Linked DNA regions of Oryzias latipes. The protein of the gene in region 3 purifies or fractionates together with the protein of the main gene of each other region. This does not show direct contact. Links are inferred from orthologs where the notes say so. Each region holds a gene or a part of one and is shown on either strand. Other genes may lie near its edges. The genes, in order: dual specificity protein kinase CLK2, ncbp3 and pnn.

Region 1 (4,221 bases), on a different chromosome or scaffold from region 3:
CTCCTTGTGTCATGTAAATGCTCTATGCTGTAATACTCATATGGAGAAGGGTTACGATAGAGTAGTGGCAGTGAGTACATCTCTCTTGCAGGACGTCCCCACTCCGACAGATCAGGTGCCCTTCCTCGTCGTCCCTCACACTCAGTGCCCGCGTCCGGCTGTTGCTCCTCTGTTTTTTCACCCAGACCGCCATCAGCAGGTCACAACACGACCGGGGGGGGGGACGCGGGGGTTTCAGTGTTGGCACAGGTGGATGAGGAGGGAGGAGGAGGGTGGTGGTAGTAGTAGTAGGTGGATTTCGTGGTCATGGGGCGATTCACGCATGACAGCACGTGAAGGAAATAGATAACGATATAGTGCAAGGAAAGTAAAACATCATTTGTCGTCCTCTGCTCCTCTCCCCCCTCTACCTTCCAAACCATGACTGCTCACAAACAAAGAAGCATCTGGCATTTCCATTCATCATCTCAAACCAATAAAAACAGGCATTTATCAAAAAAAAAAACTTTTCAGACTGACATTCTGGAAGAACGATGGAAGAAAAAAGTTACTGAAGGAGACCAGCTCAAGCAGAAATACTTCCAAAAATGAACCACATCCATTTTTTTTTACCTAGGAGTTCCTCAAGTTAAACTACCTTAAAGGTGTGGTTTAATTAACAGAATAAAGAGAAAAAACAACTAAAAGGGCAAATTTGTTAAAGGCTACTTATGATTTTTGAAAGAACATTTTCACTTTTCTATGCAATCTTAGAAATCAACTACCACTACAAAATAAAAGTTGATTAGATGTTTAGGAATAAGAAACCTCCAAAATTTGGTCTAAGGAATGACTAAGATGTTATTGCCAAAAAATGAAAATGCCCTGAAAACGGAATGCCAATTTCTGCAAAAGTGTAATAAAAAAAAAACAGAACAAAATCAAATCATAAAATATACTACTTACCAATTCCACAAGCTGTAAAAAAAGGAACGGTTAGAGAAAGAGATAGACTAAAGGAAGAGAAGAAAGGTTGAAGAGGAGAAGATGAAGAAAGCGCTAAAGCACCGTCTCAGACATGGTCGTACTCACCGAGGAGGATTGGCTATAGGACCTGGTTTTACGCCGCCTTCGTTTGTGCTTACGCCTGCTGCCTTTCCTCTGGTAGGACCTTTCCCGCTCTTTCTCACGGCCGCGTCGGTAGTCGTACAAGTTGGGGGAGAATTCTCGTGGATAAAAGCTCTCAGCTGTGCCGTGGGGCTCCCGGTCCCGGTCTTGATCTCGGCTGGGATCGAGTCGTCGGTATCCTTCACAGTATCTTCGGTCGTACGGTCGATGCTCCATTGAGCGATTGTCATAGCTGCGACTGTACAAGACAAGTAAAAACACAAAGATTTGCATCAAAAAAGGAGATTCTTTTGAAATTTGGAGAGGAAAACCAACAAAAACTGCAGCTCTTGGAGACAAACCTCCTGGTTCTTCCATAGCTTCCGTTGGGTCTGTGTCCCCGCCCTCTTCGGTCACGCTCTCGGTCACTGCTGGATGAGTAGGTGGGTGATCTTCTGTACCTTTGTCTCCTTCCTCTGTCTCGGTAGCGGTCCGGGTAGCTGGTCCGACTGTCTCTGTCAGAAGACGAATACCGTCTTGTGTAAGGCATCTGCAGGAGTGAGAGAAAGAAAACCGATAAATCCACAGAAAAACCATCATCAGTCAAAACTGGACAAAGACTTATATTTTACATGTTGAATTATATGAAAAGATGAATAATCTTGGTATCAGATTTATGAGGAATCCCAAACATATATTTTAATCCAAGTGTAACTGGGTTGGGACGGCTTCCTCAGAGATAGCTGCATTGATTGAGAACATAAAAATGTGTCACGAGACCCCGCAGGAGCCACACGGCAAACCTGCAGGAGCAAGACTGCAATCCAAGCAGGAGCCAGACTGCATTTCTTCAGGAGCAAGACACTAACCCCGCAGGAGCCAGACTGCATTTCTTCAGGAGCAAGACCGAAATCCCCAGGAGCCAATCCTGGGGATTGCAGGAGCAACACTGCAACAACCCCAGAAGATCCAGACTGCAACCCCAGCTCCTGCGGGATTGCAGGAGCCAGAACTACAATCCCACAGGAGCAACACTGCAACATCAGAGGAGCCAGACTAAACCATCTGCACTAACTCCGAGCAGCAGAACCGCCTCCGTTAATAACAGACAGTTCATTTAAAAACTATCAACACTAAAAATCATAATACAGTGATAATGAAGAGCAGGACGCTCTGAGTTCCCGTATATTTAACAGCATTTCTATCAAGTTTGTTTGAACCTTTGCTAAACCAGATCGTTTAATTGACGGGGGAAAAAATCCGAGTCCTCCAAGTAACGTCTGAAACATGATTTGATTTGTTTACTCTTAAAAACGTTAAGATCGACAAAAAAATAACCACCGCACCCAAACCTGGTGATAAATGACACCAGAAAAAACGCGTTCTATATAAATTCAAGATATCGGTGTTTAGTTGGTAGCTACTCCATGCTAGCATCTTGCTAATGTAAATAACTAGACCGCCATCTTAGCTTAGCTGGATTTATCAGCTCCGTAACAGCAAGCTAATGTACAAACTGCCGTCAAACTTGGAAATAAATGACACGAAAGAAAGCTAGAAACTATTTACCGTTTTAGCAGCGAGGCCTGTGCGTTTATCCCATAAGAAATCCGTGGTGGCGATAATATTTCTCGGCAAAATTCTTGCTAGCCTGGTGCTCGGTTGGTGTCGTCCGCCTGAGGCCCGCGGCAGGCAGCGCAGCTTCTGCTTCAAATTGCTGCCGCTGGCCCCGCCTCCGCGCGCGAGGACGTCTCCTCTTTCCAAAATACTTCCATGACATTTTAGGAAACCGTAGTCCTTTCTAATCTGGGATTAAATCATACTTATCGAGATTAATATTGTTTTATTTCCATGGAAGCGAGTTTGCAATAGAATGAAACTTAAAGAAAAAGATTGGGCAACAAATTATCTAAATCTGGTCATTACATAAATACATTTGATTTTGAGGTAGTTTAAACTTTCACATCTGGCCACATTTTAAAAAATGTATTTATTTGTGGCTGCTGTTCCTTGTTGCTTCCCCAAAATGAACAATCAATATAAAAGTAAATTTAACGTAATTTAAAAATCCCAAAATAAATTTGTCCTCATGTTTTCCAGGTTTAAAATGTAATGAAAATCGTTATTTCCATCCAAAACACAGCAATTATTTAGATCTAAAGTAAGAATAATTCATTTTAATTAATGAAAGTTCCACATTTGCTCTTGTTTTATCTGTAAGTAAACTGTTTTCCAAACAAACGTGGTTTTAAATAAATAAAAACATTTAGTTTGAATGAAATCAAAAATGGATTTAAAAAGTTTGAGACCTTCACATTTTTTAATGTTTAAAAATAATGAAAACCATCTTTTGCGTCTTTAACACAAATACAGACCAGAATCAAAGGGATTTTTATAAATAATTGTAACAAGAACGGACGGTTTACTAATGAGAGGCTAACCAGTACATTAACATTTTCAAAACTATAACAATAAATTGGAATAAGATTAATAATTGCAGATTATTTGAATTTATTTTGATTTTTTTCATTTATTTTTTCAGTCATAAACAGCAGATGTTTTGCTTATAATCACATTTCAGGCTAAAAGAAGAACAAGCAGAAAAATAGACATTTTATTAAGACTAAAAACTACATTAAAGTAAGCATGAATCCATAATTAATGTAATACAAAGTGAACAAAAAGTGAAGTAAAGCAGCGTAATGTCCACAGATGCTTCAGATGTAGATTTTACTTTTAGAGACACTAAATAAAATCCATTCAACTGTTCACAAGGAAGTTCCTCGATAACAGCGCACCTCGACAATTAATGTCCTCCTTCTGCAACTTCTTTTCTGAAATAACTTCAGACACATGTTGATAAACACGATCAGGTTTTCTTCTTATTTTTGGACATCATCCAGCGCCTCAGTTTCAGCATGTGCTCCAGCCGTAAGGAGCCTCTGTAGATCCACTCTGTGTGCCCGTCACTCTGGGAAAGACCACACAAACCACAAAAGCTCACAAAAAAAAGGAACCACACAAAGATAACACTAGAAACTAGAAAGATCTGCATTTCCAGAAGAAAATGCAGGTTTGAATGCTATATTGCTGAATGAAAATAAAATTTAAAGGCTAATAATTGGAAAAATAATT
Region 2 (3,530 bases), on a different chromosome or scaffold from region 3:
CATCAGTGCTGAGGAATAAAATGCAGCTACTTTGATGTGTTACAGTAAAATAAAATCAAACATACCAGAAGCTTTGAATGACTTCAATAAACCTCTTAAAAAATAACATTTACAACACAAAGGTGGGCTTCATAGAGACAATAGGCAGCATTTAGGCTTTTCCTGGTGCTCAGCCAGCAGATGTCTCCCTACTCGCTGTTTGTGGCAGCTATTACTTCAGTCAGTCTGAAGTTCTCCGAGTGCCGGTGTGGTTTTTCTTTCATCGACAGAGTGAGTCTGACCATCCAGGCCTGAATCAGGTGTTCTTGTGAGTACTTTTCATAGAAATACTGTACACTTCACTGGTCTATTTAGTAGCAAGTATTTCAATGATCTAAAGAAACTTCTGCACTGTAAGAGAATCAAAGCGGAGCGCGGCCTGAGAGCGTAAGGTGGAGTTGCCATCTGGGCTGAAACCTGGCAGGTTTTCCGTGCAGAGAAGAAACATCAGGAATAAAAAACATCAGCCATCTTTTTAATGAGGATTCATGAAGCTTGGAGTCTGTGGACCCACAACATTTCAGAAAAAAACAACCAACTCAGCACCAGGAGATCCAGTTCACACTTTTCTTCCGACACAGGAGGATCCTCTGCTTCAGGAAGAGAGCTGGAGGCGGAGTCTGTCTCCGTGGTAACAGGAATGCATGGCGATGATGTAGAGCAGGTGCAGGGTTAGAGTTTCCCGTCATGCTTTGCTCCATCAGACAACACCTTTGAGAAGTTCAGGAAACTGAAAAACATTTTCAAGGAGAGAGAATCCAGACGCGATGACAGAACCAGCAGGTCCGGTCCGCCGCCTGGGCCCGGCTGGAGCTCTGAAGTTCAGGAGAGTCTGGCCGAGTTCCTAGTCGTCCTCAGGCGTCAGAGTCGTCGCTGCTGTCACGGCTGATCTCGATCTGCAGCGACGGCAGGCTGTCCAGGCGGCTCTTCTTTCCCTTGTGGCCGAGGCGCTCCTGCTTCTGTTTGATCATGGCGCCCCACATCTTCTGCAGCATCGAGTCGTCCTCCTCCTCCTCCTTCTCCTCACCCTCTGCTTTCTTGCCTGCTCTCCCGCTGCCTTCTTTCCGACCTGAAGAGGAGGAGGACGGAGCCGAGTGGTCGCTCCCTCGCCGCTCAATGTTGCCGAGTCTGCTCCAGAGGTCGCCTGAGGAGGAAACGGCATTAAGAACGTGAGAACCTCCGTTCTGGATTGGAGAGTTCGGCAAGTCAGATCGGGACTGCTGTTGTGTTCCCTCCCAACATGGCGGTACACCTTTTGCCGTCTCTCTGATATTTTCAGTGCAATTTTGCCGTCTTTTTACATTTTTTTTACAGCGTACTGTTTTTTGTCATCTGATTGGCTGCAGACCACTGTCAATCAATCTCATCAGTGCCATGTCTCCTGTACAGAATGCGTTACAGAAATCTTTGTTTTCATTCTATAATACTTCATTTCTATGAAGGTTTGAACTTTGAGAGTTTAAAAAAGAGAGAAACAAAGTGTGAGAATGTTTAAGTCTGTCTGAGAAAAGTGTGTAGTGAGGAGATTTACTGCTTTGATCATCTGACATTCCACTTCAAGGATTTTCGGTTATTTTTAGACGGTAACTCGGTAACACTGTACCCGTCTTTCTGTCTTTGGAGCTGGAGAAGACGCCTCTGTCTTGACCGGCCACGCCAAGTCTGCTGTGCACATCTCTGACTGGCTCTTTGCTTGGGGGCGTGTCTCTGGGGGAGGCAGGGGAAGGGGTGCGGCGTCTGTCCGGAGAGTATCGCCTTTTCCCGAGCCGCTGCCGGACATCTGCGGGAGAGACGTAGAGTCAGAGGGGACGGAGTCCACACCCCGGCAGAAGCGGCGGCTGCCCCTCACCGGTCTTCCCGCCGCTGGCCACAGGGGGGGGCTGTCTGTGATGGGACAGCCCCTGCCGCTTCTCCAGCAGCAGCTGCCGGACGTCCGTTAACTTGGAGGGGGATGAGGATTTGGCTCTGCTCTGGGTCCCCGATGTCCCGATGCGGTTCCTGACAGAGGAAAACGTCAAAATAAAAGCTTTTCTGAACCCATCCTGACCCGGGCTTGATGCAGACGAGTCGGCAGTTTCTGAACACTCCCCCAACAATATAATTTAGAAACTCTGTAGGAAGTACCCTACAAGCTGAACCACAATGATGAAAACATTAACATTTATTCGATTAAGATTCCAATGAATTAAAATTTCTTAAATGTTAGTTTCTGAAAACCAATAATGATCCATGTCTCACTTCCTGACCCTCAAAAAAGATTTATGGAGTTTAAAGACAAAAGTTTACCATCTGAAGACTTGCTTTACACAATAAAAGCCCGTCCAACTGTGTCACATGACTACAGATGACGGTGGGCGGGGCTCACCGGATGCTCTTTAGGTGGCTCTCCACCTCGTCGGCGTACATGGTCATTTTTTTGCTTTTCTTTGGCGACGGCGTGGAGATCATCTTCAGCTCCAGGTCGTAGTCCATCTCATCCGACTCTGACCACGGAGACGGAGATCGCTCCGCACTGCTGCGAAGCCCCGCCCCTCCAGAACGTGAGCTGCCTCCTTTGTCCTTAAACTCCACCACCCTGTCATCAGAGTCCATGTCCTCGTCACTGGCGTCCTCCTCCTCTTCCTCCTCCTCCTCCTCTTTGATGGGCTCCTCAGGCAGGTTGACCAGGTCAGCTGAGAGGAGAGAGAGTACAGATTTTTAGCCCCGCCTTTATTTGGTTTGAGCCTTTATACCAACTTTATTTCAACTACCATAACCCTTTGACCTTTAACACCATAAAGGTGAAACAGGAGATTCTGAAGCTTCCTGGAATTAGGTTCATTGTGTAGACGATCAAAGAGTTATGGGATATGATGGAGCATGCGTTATTTAGGATTCACCGGTGACATTTCCTGTGTTAAAAGGTTAATTCAGTTATGAGAAAATTCTGCTTCTTTGTTGAAGGAAAGCCCTTTCAGATTGACTGAAAACTGAATGAATTTTAGATTAAAACCTGAAAACTGGAAACTCTAAAGACTATGCGTCAGTGAATGCAGCCTCATGGAGTTGGGCCGGATCCCCGGCGTTCTCACCGGAGTGCCGGTGCGTGTACGGCGGCGTGTGTCCCATGTTGTCTCCAATCAGAGGCTTCTTGCTTTTGATGACGTCTCTTTGGATGCGTCGGTTGTGGTACCTCCTCTTCCTGAATGGACAAAAATCAGAGTTTGGACGTCATGAAGCTCCACCGTCAGCAGGAAACGATACTCAAAGTCCCCTTCAATGAAAATCATGTTTTTTTTGTGTGTTTGACATGTCCTTGTGGCATTTTTCTTATGACAAATGTAATCATTTCATTTATGCATTTCAGAGTATTTCTCCTTTTAAACTGCTGTCAATCAAACTGTAACAAAGACGATCGGTTTGAATTAATGAGCTGCTGTGATGTCACAAGCTCCGTCCAGGGCGCACAAGGTCAAGTGAGAGACGAGGGAAGAAGGCACTTTGCTGCTTTG
Region 3 (4,309 bases):
GTGTGGCCCATAGTGAGATACTGAATGAACCCAGATCATTTTACCTTTTTGACATCATCGTCATCGTCGCTGTCGTGGCGCATGTCTCTCCTGGCCCTCTGGTCTCCTGCCAGCCTAAACTCGCACAGCCATGACAACAAAGAGGTAATCAGTGCAAACAGCTTTATTAGATTCTATAAAAAAGAAAGAAAAAGAAAAAAACAAAAGAAAACCCTGAAATACAGCGATTTCCCGATCCAATCACCTGACTAGAAATCGGCCCGGTCACATGGTTGATTACTCAATTGAAAAATTGGAAAATCGAATGTCTCCTAGAAGTATCAAATATTTAATTTATTTTTATTTTGATCAGCACTTTACATTTCAAGCTCACTATTACAGACAAATACTCTACTAGGAGTCTGCATATTATGAACAGATCGCAACAATTTATTGCGGTGCTAGTTTGAGTAAGAGGTGCACAAAGCTAGAAAGATGTACGGAGTCAGTCGTCTGGGATCAATGACTTCAACATTTTAAACACCTGTGGCCAGTCCAAGTGTTTAGGACACCTGATTCTAATCACTTGGATGGGTGAGCGAATACTCTTGGTAGTATAGTGTTTGAGCTACTCGCGAATACTCATATTTATGCCAAGAACAGCAATTTTTTAAAGAAAATCATTAATGTGAAATTTTAATGGGCATATGAATCACGGCTGTTCAAAAATGTTCAATAGTTCTCAAGTCACTAAAACTTAACTCAAATTTTCTCTGTGTAAGTATAAGTATCTGTTTAAGTATTAAATGATAAAAGTCCAATAAAAGAAAAAATAGGGGGGGGGGGGGGTCAGCAGATATTGGAAATCAATTGACTGTGGGCCAGATAGGGCACAAGAAAACATGACCAGGACGTCCCTACTGAAATAGCTAGAAATCCTTATTTCTAGCAGGAAAAAACAAAACAAAAAAACAAGTCACCTCAGCAAGGCTCCTTCGATGTCCCTTTGCTTGGCAGGGGGGCCGCCAGTTCCCATGTCCGAGAGACTGCGCCTGAAAGAACATATTGGCAATCAAAAAATAACTTCTCCCTAGGGGGGGGGGGACCTTATAACACCCAGATCTATGTAAGCCTTTGTTTTTCTCATCCGAGCTGGCATCTGGCCCAAAACTGTACGGTTTTGTACGACCGGATAGTAATTATCTGCAGAGCTAGCAGTAATCGGCTAAAATGCTTTCCTTTTATACGCACATTCATCGTTACAAAAGGCTGGAGGTTGTTCGTTTTCCTTAGCAAAACGCAGACACACTGCCGAGGCTGGCTCTGGGTTGACGACATTCAATGGGTGGCACCCACACGGAGCAAAAGGCCACGCCTTAGAGATTGAGTCGTCTTACTTCCGGTTTGGAAAAAAAAAGCTCAGAAAAATAACTAATATTTAATTAAAATAAAATGTTCTTTTGTGTCCCAAAGGGAATACATCATGTATATGTACACTAGATAAGGCGTAAGAATAGCGTGGTATAGGCCAGGGGTGTCCAACTCATTTTCACCAAGGGCCACATCAGGATAGTGGCTGTCCTCAAAGGGCCAGAAATAACTTTTACATGTAACTAAATGTAAGAAAAAATAAATGTAACTACTACTTAATGATAAAGAACTCATTTATTATAACTTTTTAAAGTGACAATTACAGTTGCATAGAAAACATATGTTTTCTTGATCTATCATAAATCCTTTTAAATTTGATTCTGTCAGGTTAGGTTATATTTACAGTGTTTAAGTCCTAATGTATAGGTGCCCAATCCGATATTTCAAGGCAGATTCCCCCTAGATATGAATAAATACACCAATTTTTATTTTTTATTTTAAGAAATTAAAAACTTTTATGCTCTCGCGGGCCACATAAAATGACATGGAGGGCCACATTTGGCCCCCGGGTCTTGAGTTTGACAAATGTGGTATAGGCCCTTTATGTAGTCCATTACCATAATTCAAATGAAAGCCTGGTGGGTGTGACATGATTATTAAGTATCAAGTGGCATTTCCTTATCCTATCACTTTCGATCTCATACCTAGAGCATCTGAGTCAAAGACCGGTGAAAGGAAAAGTTCTTTCTTTATTTTTTTTTTATTTGATTTACTGCAAGTGCACCAAGTTAATCTCGTCACCTTACCTGAGCAGGTTGATTCCTCTGCCTCTACCTCCGCTGAGGCCTGCCATTGGGCCGCTGAGCCGACGGAACTGGCCCGGTCTGAAAAAGGATGAACCACGTGAGAAACAAAACAGTCCCAAACAAAAGCATAACGAGCTAAAACAGAAAGGCGGTTTCAACTATTTTTGCAAAAGCATAGTTTAAAAATGTATTAAACTGACTTACTAGGCCTGCTGGCAGTTGGGCCTAACACAGACTTCAACAAACAACGGTGTATGTTTACGCAAATACATCATCGTTAGAATTCAAAGGTAGACAATCTGTTCGTTCATAATGAAACAAGCATTTGGAGTAGCAGGGGTTTGCAGAGTTTAATTAATGTTGCTAGGATGTGACAATTCGCTTAGCCGCCTCCTGCTAACAACACGAGACACGCCGTTTGTCTCGTGAGTTTTAGCACAAAAAACAGCACAAAACTTAAATAGCACCAACGCATTTCAGTCTGTACACATTTTTACCTCGACTCGTTTGGATCTCGGCCCGTAAGTTTTCGAATATTATCGTCCACATTTTTCAAGCTTTCTTTGGCTTTTTCGAGCTGATCTTGCAAACTCCGCACAACCACCGCCATCTTGTTGCTAGTGATTACTGGTCACGTGCTCGGCTCGGTTTCGCCTTTAACTCCCGCCTATCTGTCAATGCGCCCGCCTTCTGTCTTCTTTGTGTCACACGGTCAAATGTGTTGATGTGTGGTCAAGCATGCTCTTTACCGCCACCTTCTGGTTTATTAAAAAAAAAAATTGGTCAATTTGCTTCACAATTGGTCTTAACTTTCTAGACTTTTGTACATTAAACAATACATTTAAAATAAATTGGCTAAGACATTGTATTAAGAATCCAACTTCAATCTGGAATTTCATACCAAATTACATTTTCTCCAAATAAGGAGGCATAAACTTTCTTTTATTCTGTAACTATAATGTACAAAAGATCCCAATTAAGCTTTCTTCCTTCCATAAACAAATGTTACTTTCCTGGTCACTTATCTACAAACACAATTTTTCTCCTCACAGATACTACATATGGAACAATAAAGACATTACTTATAGATATAAATCTTTATTTTATCCATCATGGTTTAATCAAAACATCCTTTTGGTTCATCAGCTGTTTAATTCAAACGTAGCTTTAATGTCACATGAAGAATTCTGCTTCAAATACTCCATCAAAATACCAAAAACTGAATTTAACTTTGTTTTGAAAGCAATTCCTAAATGTATTATTACATTATTCAAAAGTTCATCATTGCAAAATCCAACTTTATTGCCAATTGATCCAACTAAAATAGAAATAGGTCAAATTTGTTTTTCTTCTTCACGTAACACAAATCGCCGTATACGCTCACTCTTCCAGAAGGATGTTGTCTCCATTCCTTATGTAGTTCCTTTTTGGAATAATTTAGTTTATCATTTAGAATGGAAAAAGATTTGGAAGTTACCAGCAAAATACTTTTTAACCAATAAAGTGAAAGAAATCTCATTCAAAGTAATTCATAAATTCTATCCAACCAAACTATATCTGCAAAGGTTCAAAGAAGATATTGATGTTACCTGTCTTTTTGTCAAGAACACCCTGAAAATGCTGTACATTTATTTTGGTCATGTCCCTTTTCCACTACTTTTTGGTCTAAAGTTTGTCATTTCATTTCCGCCCACATTGACCCAGACTTCCGCCTATACTTAGAAAATATTATGTTTGGCATCACCCATTGTCCATCTCATAAAAAAGAACAGTTGTACCTCACTAACATTTTGTTGTTTTTATGCAAATGGCACATTCATAAATCAAAAGTAACGAATCATACCCCTCATTTCTCAATCTTTATCAATGAGTTCAAACAATACATTAAGACAATAAGAAACTCTGATAATAAGAAAGCCATCAAAACATTAGATCTGTGTGTTAGTTTCAATATATATGCATAAAATGTATAAACCCCCTGGCTTGTTCCTTCGTTGTTGTTCACTGTTTAACATTGTTTTGTATTGAATTTTTACATTCAATAAAGTTTGAAAAAAAATTTTTTTGCTTCACAATTACCGTATTTAAACAATAAAACAATAGTCAAATTTGCTTAAACTTTTTGTTAAAACTAAACTAGAGGTCAAAATCGT

What was found.
Region 1: the proteins of pnn (region 3) and dual specificity protein kinase CLK2 purify together in Homo sapiens (affinity purification with mass spectrometry; 3 studies listed by BioGRID and IntAct, counting the BioPlex papers as one, with this or other methods). This does not show direct contact. The link is inferred for Oryzias latipes from reciprocal best matches to the Homo sapiens genes PNN and CLK2.
Region 2: the proteins of pnn (region 3) and ncbp3 purify together in Homo sapiens (co-immunoprecipitation; 3 studies listed by BioGRID and IntAct, counting the BioPlex papers as one, with this or other methods). This does not show direct contact. The link is inferred for Oryzias latipes from reciprocal best matches to the Homo sapiens genes PNN and NCBP3.

The regions. Positions count from the first base shown.
Region 1 is NC_019869.2:6,675,102-6,679,322, forward strand, and holds the start of dual specificity protein kinase CLK2, read right to left. Parts: upstream 2,812-4,221; 5' UTR 2,656-2,811; intron 1,637-2,655; coding exon 1,449-1,636; intron 1,346-1,448; coding exon 1,072-1,345; intron 958-1,071; coding exon 946-957; intron 170-945; coding exon 79-169; intron 1-78. Other genes in the region: histone-lysine N-methyltransferase SETDB1-B, read right to left, coding at 3,956-4,057. UniProt on the Homo sapiens protein: Dual specificity kinase acting on both serine/threonine and tyrosine-containing substrates. Phosphorylates serine- and arginine-rich (SR) proteins of the spliceosomal complex.
Region 2 is NC_019872.2:24,114,935-24,118,464, reverse strand, and holds the end of ncbp3 (nuclear cap-binding protein subunit 3), read right to left. Parts: intron 3,221-3,530; coding exon 3,111-3,220; intron 2,712-3,110; coding exon 2,405-2,711; intron 2,038-2,404; coding exon 1,889-2,037; intron 1,820-1,888; coding exon 1,643-1,819; intron 1,184-1,642; coding exon 894-1,183; 3' UTR 494-893; downstream 1-493. UniProt on the Homo sapiens protein: Associates with NCBP1/CBP80 to form an alternative cap-binding complex (CBC) which plays a key role in mRNA export. NCBP3 serves as adapter protein linking the capped RNAs (m7GpppG-capped RNA) to NCBP1/CBP80.
Region 3 is NC_019880.2:19,629,890-19,634,198, reverse strand, and holds the start of pnn (pinin), read right to left. Parts: upstream 2,801-4,309; 5' UTR 2,767-2,800; coding exon 2,654-2,766; intron 2,235-2,653; coding exon 2,157-2,234; intron 1,032-2,156; coding exon 960-1,031; intron 115-959; coding exon 45-114; intron 1-44. UniProt on the Homo sapiens protein: Transcriptional activator binding to the E-box 1 core sequence of the E-cadherin promoter gene; the core-binding sequence is 5'CAGGTG-3'. Capable of reversing CTBP1-mediated transcription repression.